Ovis aries: one gene and its partner. The protein of the gene in region 1 binds, or shares a complex with, the protein of each later gene. Links are inferred from orthologs where the notes say so. Each region holds a gene or a part of one and is shown on either strand. Other genes may lie near its edges.

The links.
Region 2: the proteins of BRME1 (region 1) and HSF2BP are in contact, whole or in part, in a crystal structure (PDB 7Z8Z), measured with the Mus musculus proteins. The link is inferred for Ovis aries from reciprocal best matches to the Homo sapiens genes BRME1 and HSF2BP. Residues at the interface, in NP_083321.2 of Mus musculus: Met541, Gln542, Asp543, Ala544, Thr545, Val548, Arg549, Leu551, Val552, Leu555, Ser556, Asn559, Ile562, Met563, Thr565, His566, Leu569, Lys573; in NP_083178.1 of Mus musculus: Glu23, Phe24, Val25, Lys26, Val27, Arg28, Asp31, Leu32, Arg34, Leu35, Glu38, Val39, Gln41, Ile42, Phe45, Leu46, Arg48, Ile49, Glu53, Leu54.

What each region holds. Positions count from the first base shown.
Region 1 is NC_056058.1:10,109,463-10,113,265, forward strand, and holds part of BRME1 (break repair meiotic recombinase recruitment factor 1), read left to right. Parts: intron 1-3,146; coding exon 3,147-3,327; intron 3,328-3,803. UniProt on the Homo sapiens protein: Meiotic recombination factor component of recombination bridges involved in meiotic double-strand break repair.
Region 2 is NC_056054.1:264,402,675-264,407,048, reverse strand, and holds the start of HSF2BP (heat shock factor 2-binding protein), read left to right. Parts: upstream 1-1,484; 5' UTR 1,485-1,516; coding exon 1,517-1,552; intron 1,553-2,297; coding exon 2,298-2,448; intron 2,449-4,374. Other genes in the region: RRP1B (ribosomal RNA processing protein 1 homolog B), read right to left, coding at 148-277. UniProt on the Homo sapiens protein: Meiotic recombination factor component of recombination bridges involved in meiotic double-strand break repair.

The DNA of each region.
Region 1 (3,803 bases):
CGCAAAAAGGGAAGCCACTGCAGTGAGAAGCTTTCATATCACAGCTAGAGAAGAGCTTGAACTGGGACAAAGACCCAGCACAGCCAAAAATAAATAAATAGAATTATTAACAAAAAAAAAGATGTTTGTGCAGAGATGAGTAACAAGCTGCTTGGAGGCACAGGAATTTCTGTGACCTTGGAGGCGGAAGCTGGGGCCAGCCAGGCCCACCCACAGCAGGTCATTCGGGGCCTGTCTTGGCAGTGGACTCCTCAGCTCAGTGGACCCTGGGCTGGCCCAGGAAAGTTCTTTCTGTGTGTCCTGGATGGGTGGGGAAAAAGAAAAACAATTCTGGCAGGTGGTGAAAGAACCCTTTCCCTCCTGATGTCTTTGGCCTTTAGTGTTGAACACAAGGTTCTGCTTTCGTTTTTCTTAAATTAATCCTGTGGGGATGGATCACAGGAAGAAAATGGGAGCCTCTTCACGCCTGTTGGTATTTTTGCTTTTTATTTGGTACTAATAAGTGTCCATTGGATGAGCAAAGCAAGCTAGTGTTTGGGTTTCTCAAGAAACTAAACAAATGAAGCCGCTATATTTTTGCATTTCCTGGTAGACCACAAAGTAGAAATGTGTTTGTATAAGAAACATTCATTGGAGCTTTGCTCTGGGTGCAGTGCCAGGGTGGGTCCATAAAGTGGGCAGGGGGCGGGAAGCACGGTGAAGATGAGATCAAGATGAGATTTAGGTCTTGCAGTTGATTCCTTCAAAGTCAAATCAGGGGGAAAGGAAAAATGCTTCTCACCAAGGGAGCTAATCAAATGCACAGCAATGGGGTAAGGTTCTAAATGGGCCCATGTGAGCTGTAACTGACAGAATTAGGAGAAATTACAGGAAAGTCAGTGTGGTCTAGTGGAACCCCAAAAGCCAAATGGACGCTGAGGAGGACTCTAGCATTCAGTGTTGGAGGAAGGGAGCTCATTCAATGGATTTGTTGTTGTTTTAGTTGTGTCTGACTCTTTGCAACCTCATGGACTGTAGCCCTCCAGGCTCTTCTGTCCATGAGATTTCCCAGGCAAGAAATACTTGAGTGGGTTGCCATTTCCTTCTCTAGGGGGTCTTCCTGACCCAGGGATCAAACCAGTGTCTCCTGCATTGGCAGGCGGATGCTTTACCACTGAGCTACCTGGGAAACTCTCAGTGGGTTTACTTCAAGAGGGGGCAACAGAGGACAAGAGGGTTGGATGGCATGACTGACTCAATGGACATGGGTTTGCGCAAGCTCCTGGAGATGGTGAAGGACAAGGAAACCTGGCATGCTCCAGTCCATGGGGTCACAAAGAGTCGGACACAACTGAACAACAATATAAGGAGCTGAGTGTGGAAAGGTCTTTCTGACAACCTCCAGAAAAATCAGACCTGGGTTTGGTTTATCTGTTTGTTCTCACTCCCTGGTCGGAGATGCAGTATATGTAGGTGTTCAGTAAGTGTTCAGGTACACTTAAGTGTGAAAGCTCTGGAGCTGGACTGCCTGAATCCCATTTCAGAGTCTGATCTCTCCAGGCCTCAGCTTGCTCATCCGTAACATGGCACAACATGAAGACTCTACCTCGAAGTTTTATCATAACATACCTGAGTCCTCAAGACAGTGTCTGGCATGGAACTGAACAAGAGTCAACCCTTATTATTTGTTCATTGAATGAATGGTTCATTTGGGGCCAGAGCATTCTGACAAGTCAGCCACTATTGGCAATTTCTATATAAGGGAGTTCCCTTCATTAAACAAATAGAAGGTAATAAGCACCTTTAGGGTCTGAATTGCTTTCAGTGATGGGAAAGGTATTTTTAGGAATGTAGCAGGGACCAAGAGGCAACTGAGCTGAGAAGTCACCTCCTTACTGCTCGATGACTCTGGGTCCCAGTTTTCCCAGGTTGAATATTCTACAAGTGTCATGGAAAACCAGAGTGGTACGTAAAATTTAATGTCGTCTGCATTTTCTGGGAAGTGATCTGGATTTCCTCATGCACTTATTCAGTCATCTTCCAAGTATTTATTGAGCGGTTCTCGACCCAGAAATGAAACCAAGGTCTCCTGTATTGCAGGCGGGTTCTTTACCAACTGATCTGTCAGGGAAGCCCCATTTATTGAGCACCAATGGTTTATTAGATGCTCATCTAGCCACTCGAGACCCAGCAGAGAGTGAAATAACTGAGGCCCCTCCTTGCATGGACACATTGTAGTGGAGGAGACGGTAAACGACCCTGTTCGTCGGACGCTTGCAGAAAAGATGTAAAGTGAATACAACAGAGCATGGGTCCGAGAGGAGTTGCTGTATAGAAAGGGCAAGAATGGCTCCTCTAGGGGCTCCTCTGGTGGTCCAGTAGCTAAGACTCTGTTTCCACAGGAGGCACAGGTTTGATCCCTGGTTGGGGAACTAAGATCCCACAAGCTCTCTCACCAAAAAAAAAAAAAAAAAAAAAAAAAAAGGGCCCCTCTGTAGGGACAATTTGAGCTGAGATCCAAGGGAACCAGCACACACCTCTCACCACTTCCCCAGAGAAACAGTCAGCTGGACAGGTTGTCTCGTGATTCTGAGCCAGGCCAGGTCACCTCAGGATCCAGCATCCATCATGACCAGACCACAAGTTAAAAGCCTTTGAATCCCATGGCCCCATAAGTTCGTGGGTCCCACCTGGATGACAGTCCATCCCGTCTCTCACTCTCCAAGCAAGCGTCAGAGCAGGAATTTCCTGCCCTTTGCACAAGCCTCCTCAGGTCGCATCAGCGACCCAGATGTGTTTGGCTGTGGGTCACGGCAGTGTGTGCTCCCACTGTCCCCCACCCCTTCAATTCTCTTTTTTCTTTTCATTTATTTTCGGCTGTGCTGGGGCTTCGATGCTGCGTGAGGGCTTTGTCCAGTTGCAGCGAGCAGCATCTGTTCTTCATTGCGGTGCACAGGCTTGTCATTGTGGTGGCTTCTCTTGTTGGGTTCCACTAGACCACACTGACTTTCCTGTAATTTATCCTAATTCTGTCAGTAGTGGCCACGAGACATGTAGGATCTCCCCAAAGCAGGAATTGAACCCCTGTCCCCTTCATTAGCAGGCGGATTCTTAACCACTGGACCACCATGAAGGGAAGCCTCCTTAATCTTTTGTCTCCAAACCAGGAAGGGAAGGACTCCATCTTCGGAAACTTCCAAAGAACCCAAGGATAGAAGACTCTGACGGGGCCACCAGCCAGAGCTCCCTGTTAGACTGTTTGCATCACCCTGAAGAATCAGAAGGTGGATCGGGACTCACTCCTTCTGCAGAGCAGAGTGGGGAGGAACCAGGACAGGCAGCCTCCAGGTAGGTGGCTCAGAACATCCAGCAAGCCTCTCCTCTGACAGTGGGCACAGCACAGTGACCTAGTGGACAGGATGCAAAGGACAGGGGACCAGCCAACATGACCCTGCCAGTGCTGTGCCTCCCCAACAGGGGTCAAGGCCCTTGGATTGAGGTTCGTGAAATTTTGCTCTAGAGACTTGTCTCTAGTGAGAAAAGTCAATATATATAATTTTAATTAAACTGTATTTATTTCTTGTTTACTTACTTATTTTTGGCTGAATTGAGTCTTTGTTGCTGCGTATGGGCTTTCTCCAGTTGCAGACAGTGGAAGCTACTCTTCATTGCAGTACATAGGTGTTTCAGTGCAGCACCTTTTCTGGTTGTGGAGCACAGGCTCTGGGCATGTGGGCATAAGTAGTTGTAGCACACAGGCTCAGTAGTTGTGGTGCACAAGCTTAGTTGCCCCATGGCATGTGAAATCTTCGTGGACCAGAGGT
Region 2 (4,374 bases), on another chromosome or scaffold:
ACGCTCTCCCCGCTCCGCCCGCGGCTCCCCCGGCCCGTCCCCTGTGACGCACCTCCCGACCGGGCCCCCTTCCCACAACCCCCAGCCCGGCCCACCCCGGGCTCCCACGCCCGGCCGCCATGTGCGCGGCGGACCGCCGGCGCCCACCTGTCTCCTTCTGCGTCTTCACGCTGATGTACTGGCGCAGCTTCTTCACCGCCCGGTCCCGGATGCCCTTCTCGTGGGACGCCAGCCGCTGAGCGAACTGTATCTCGGCCGGCTGCATGGCGGGGGCCATCGTGTCCGTTGGAGCATCCCCCGCCACAGCCCGCCGCCACAGAGCGCCCGCCGCCTCGCCGCCCGGGTCGCGACTGCGCAGAAGGCTGTGGCGCGTGCAGCGGCGCTCAGGCTGATGGCGTCACAAAGGCGCCGGCCGCCTCTCGCAGCGCGTTCTGGGAGCTAGCGCGGCTGCCAAGGCAGCCGGCTGAGCGGCTCGTCCCTGGTTAGCGGCGCGCCTCTCCGCCTCTGCCGTCTCTCGGTAGCCAAAGCTCGTGGCCGTTGACGGCGAGGTTAGCCGGCGTTGCGTGTTGGCCGGGAAGAGTCCGATAGCCAGTTTTACGTGGTCTAGAATCTTTGCGCCCACTCCACTAAATCCTGGTCCGATTGGAGCTGTTCCCCGGGAGACGCGGCACCGAGTCTTGAATCGCTTTGGACTCCTCGGCCGCCAGGGCTGGGTGGAGGCTGGGGAGAGAGGCTGCCCTTGGGAATTTTGGTGGGATGTTGTGGGCAGCCCCCTCGAGGGCCGCTCTGGTCTCAGCGACCGGCGACCCCCAGTGCCCGGGTCCCGGCCGCGAGGATTGAGAGCGTGAGCTTGAGGTCCTCCCGCGGGCCTGGAGGGCACGCACGCTGGGCACTTGGCCTTGTCAGCTCGCGGCCGGCTTCAGACAGGCAAAGTCCTAGTGGTATAGTAACTGGTACCTTTGAACGCATGGGCACTGTGCGAACTCAGTGGATGTGTAGGGGCAGCTGAATGGACGGGGCGATGTGTCCTAGCTTACGGTAGCCGTTTCAGTTACGTACCAGCGGACTGGACTAAGTCTCCCTATCGAGGGCAGACCTCCCGAGCAGTCTGTTGTCAGAAAGCTTTGGCCTTTGCTCATGGAGCTGGGAGCTGAGTGCGGGAGCCAGGCGGCCGGCTGCTGGTTCCTTTGAACCTGTCACCCCTTGGTCTGACATCCCTTGCCGAGCAGGAAGGGCCTTATTCGATTTATTTCACCGGACACTTAAGCGAGGGTCTCACTGTCCTTGTACTTTGCAGTTAACAAAGTTTACGAGTCTGGTTAAGCCAGAAGAGCCAACGCGGGATCCCGCCGACCCATTCTGGGTCTTTCAGCCGAGAATGCTTCGAAAACTGCGTGGCCTGAGCCTCGCGGCTCTCCGTACCTGACTCTCGGTGTGGACGCGTTCCCGCGCTTTCTGGCGTGAGGGTCAGAGGGCGCGCCGCCGCACAGGCGCAGGAGCGAAGGCCGCGGCAGTCATGAACGAGGCTGGCGGCGCTGAGGAGGCCTGTCGGGTTAGTGTGGGCATCCAGGTCTCGGCCTGTGAGCTCTAGCTGTCGCCCTCCACTCCCCCACACCGCTCCTGGGTGCCGTCCAGTGTGTTCGGGAGGGCCCTGGGCGTCGTCCGCAGACAGCATGCCTTGGGTAGGGGAAGGGAGGCTGCAACCCCTGCCTTGGAAAATTCTCCCAAATTCTCGGGTGTGCGGGTCCAGGGGGCCGCGCAGGGGGCGGTGGGCGTGCTCCTGTGACCCCCCGGGACAGGCCGGGCCTGGCCGCCCGCGAGGCCCTGCCTGCGTTGGACTTGTCAGCCTCAGGGGTGCCCAGCTGTCGAGTTCAGATCCAGGTTGTGTCCCCAGACCTGGGATTCCCGAGAGTCACCTGGCTTCCCTGTTTCCCCGTTTCCCAGGGTTGTGGTCGGTAAGAAGCAGGGCGGCCCGCAAAGGGCCTGGCGCACCCAGTACGCATTCACTCCGATGCCTTTCTCGCCTGATAGCTTGCTGCCGGAGCATTAAGAAAAAGTTGCCCGCGATTTCTTTGGCGTTATAGGGCCTTGTTTGCACTTTAAAAAAACTAGTTTACAGTGTGAAGGCTGGGGCTTGAGCTATCTGGATGTAATATACATAGAAAACAGTACATTAGGTAAAGACGGGCTTTGAAACTATTTTGAGCACACGAGGCCTTAAAGAAAAGGAAGCAAGCTGAGTTGGGCTGCTGGTCTCTGAGGAGACCTGTGATCTTGAGATCTGCTTGTTTTTCTAGCACATGGGAACTAAAGAAGAATTTGTTAAAGTCAGAAAGAAGGACCTGGAACGACTGACAACTGAAGTGATGCAAATACGGGACTTCTTACCCAGAATACTAAATGGGGAAGTATTGGAAACCTTCCAGAAATTAAAGATTGTAGAAAAAAGTGAGTCATACTTCATCTTCAGCCGTCACTGATGGTGACAGCAGTGTGTTTCAGCAGGTTTTCCTTATGTAAATAACTGGGAAGTGATTGTAAATAAACTTTAAGATACTGTTACAGTCTTTGTAATTACCTTTGGAAAAGTCAGATAAGACATAAGAAGGGGAGGGGCCCACAAATGAGTAACTTGGCTTTGTGTAGGTTCCTGTTGGAGGAAGGGTTGCCAACTTTCTGAGTATCTGTTCCCAGCTCTTTACCTTTTATCTTTGGCAGAAGGATTTTATACTTTTATTATTTAAAAGCTCTGTTCTAAAAATTAAGTCCTTTCTTGTATAAATACATATAGTCTTATACAAGATCCTCTTATGCAAAGGATCCTTTTTTGTAAAAGGATCTTGCCATTTAGTAACCTTACATGGATTCAGGTGTGTCTGTAGAGACATGCTCTCTCTCCTGTTTATTATCCTGCCTGTTTATTCTCCCTTAGGAGTCCTCAGATGCACCCTCCCTGGCCTGTGGTGTGCTCTGTGAGGTGGGCTCCTAGATTACGTGCCTCCTCCTTGCTGGTTGCCAGTGAGGACTCATTGAGAGAAGGAAGCCATGGGCAGGAGGAGTTGGGGGTGTTTCCTCGTGCTCCCTCCACAGCTGTGACCCATGCCCAGGGGCCTCCTCCACATTTCCAGCTCTTACCAGGCTGTAGGAACACTGTCCCCTCTCCTCCTTTCAGCTGGAGGGCTGCTGCCAGTCCCAGGTGCCTTACCATCCTTGTTGGGTCTCTGGCCCCTGCTCACCCTTTTGTAAGTAGTCCTTTCCATAAAGTCCACAGCAGGGCTTCTTTGTTTCCCCCTGGGACATTGCCAGGTATGCCCCCATCACTGGTTACCATAGCTCCAGGTCACTGTCGACCTCACCTGCGTTCAGCAGCCTCAGAAGAGCAGTCAGTCATCTTGTGTGCCTGTGTCTTTAGGGAAGGAGAGTGCTGATGAGCAGCTGAGGATGTTAGCCTGCTGGGTAGGTATATTTCTCACTGCAGATTAACACACTGGCATTCTGGAAAACACATCAGGAACTTCTCATGAGCTGGTTAGCATTTGGAGATTAATCCTCTGTCAAAATCAAACTAGTGGTTACAAAAGTGAGGTCCGTAACTGCATTTGTGGTGACGTGATCACAGGCAGACTTTAGGAGGTCTTGCCTCACAGCCCTTGGCCTCCCCAGCCGTGTCATCACCCCCTTTCCCATCGGTCTTCTCAGTCTGCTCTGCGGGTTCGTCGTCCTCTGCAGCAGCTGTCCAGCTAGGGGAGGCGCTCAGGCTCTCCTGCCCTCACCGCATGGCCTCTCCAAGGGCAGTCTGCACACTGGTAGCTTCAGTTGCCGTCTTGATGCCAGTGGCTCCTAGGCTTTCCTCTAGCCTCACCTCTTCTCCAGGGTCCGGGTCCTGTTTCTGACTCCTACTTGGCATTTCTTCTTACTTGTTTCACATTCACTTCAGATTCTAAGTGTTTGTCTTAGTATGATCGGCCTGTAGCCCTCAGGAAGGACCTGTGTTCTGACGAGGTCAGGTTACTGGCTGGTTGCAGTGAGGGGGACCACTCACTGTAGCAGAGGAACCGTGGGCATCCTGCCACCAGAGGAAGAGACAAGTGTTGCTCTAGGATTTGGGATGGGGCGGAGTGTAGATAGCATGTGGGTGAGGCTGTGTTCTCATGGGCTCCACGTGGAGTAGGGCTGTGTGTGAAGGGGTCAGCACTGGGTCTCACCACAGTGGCCCCAGGTCCTGTTTCCTTGGAAACTGCAAAATGTAGATAGAAGAACATGAGGTCTAGGAACCTTTATTTGAAGCCCTGCAGCCAGCTGGCTGTTCAGGCCGGGCTCCCTGTCGTAGCAACTGCCATCCCACAGGCGAGTGCGTGTGTTTCTTCCTCCTCA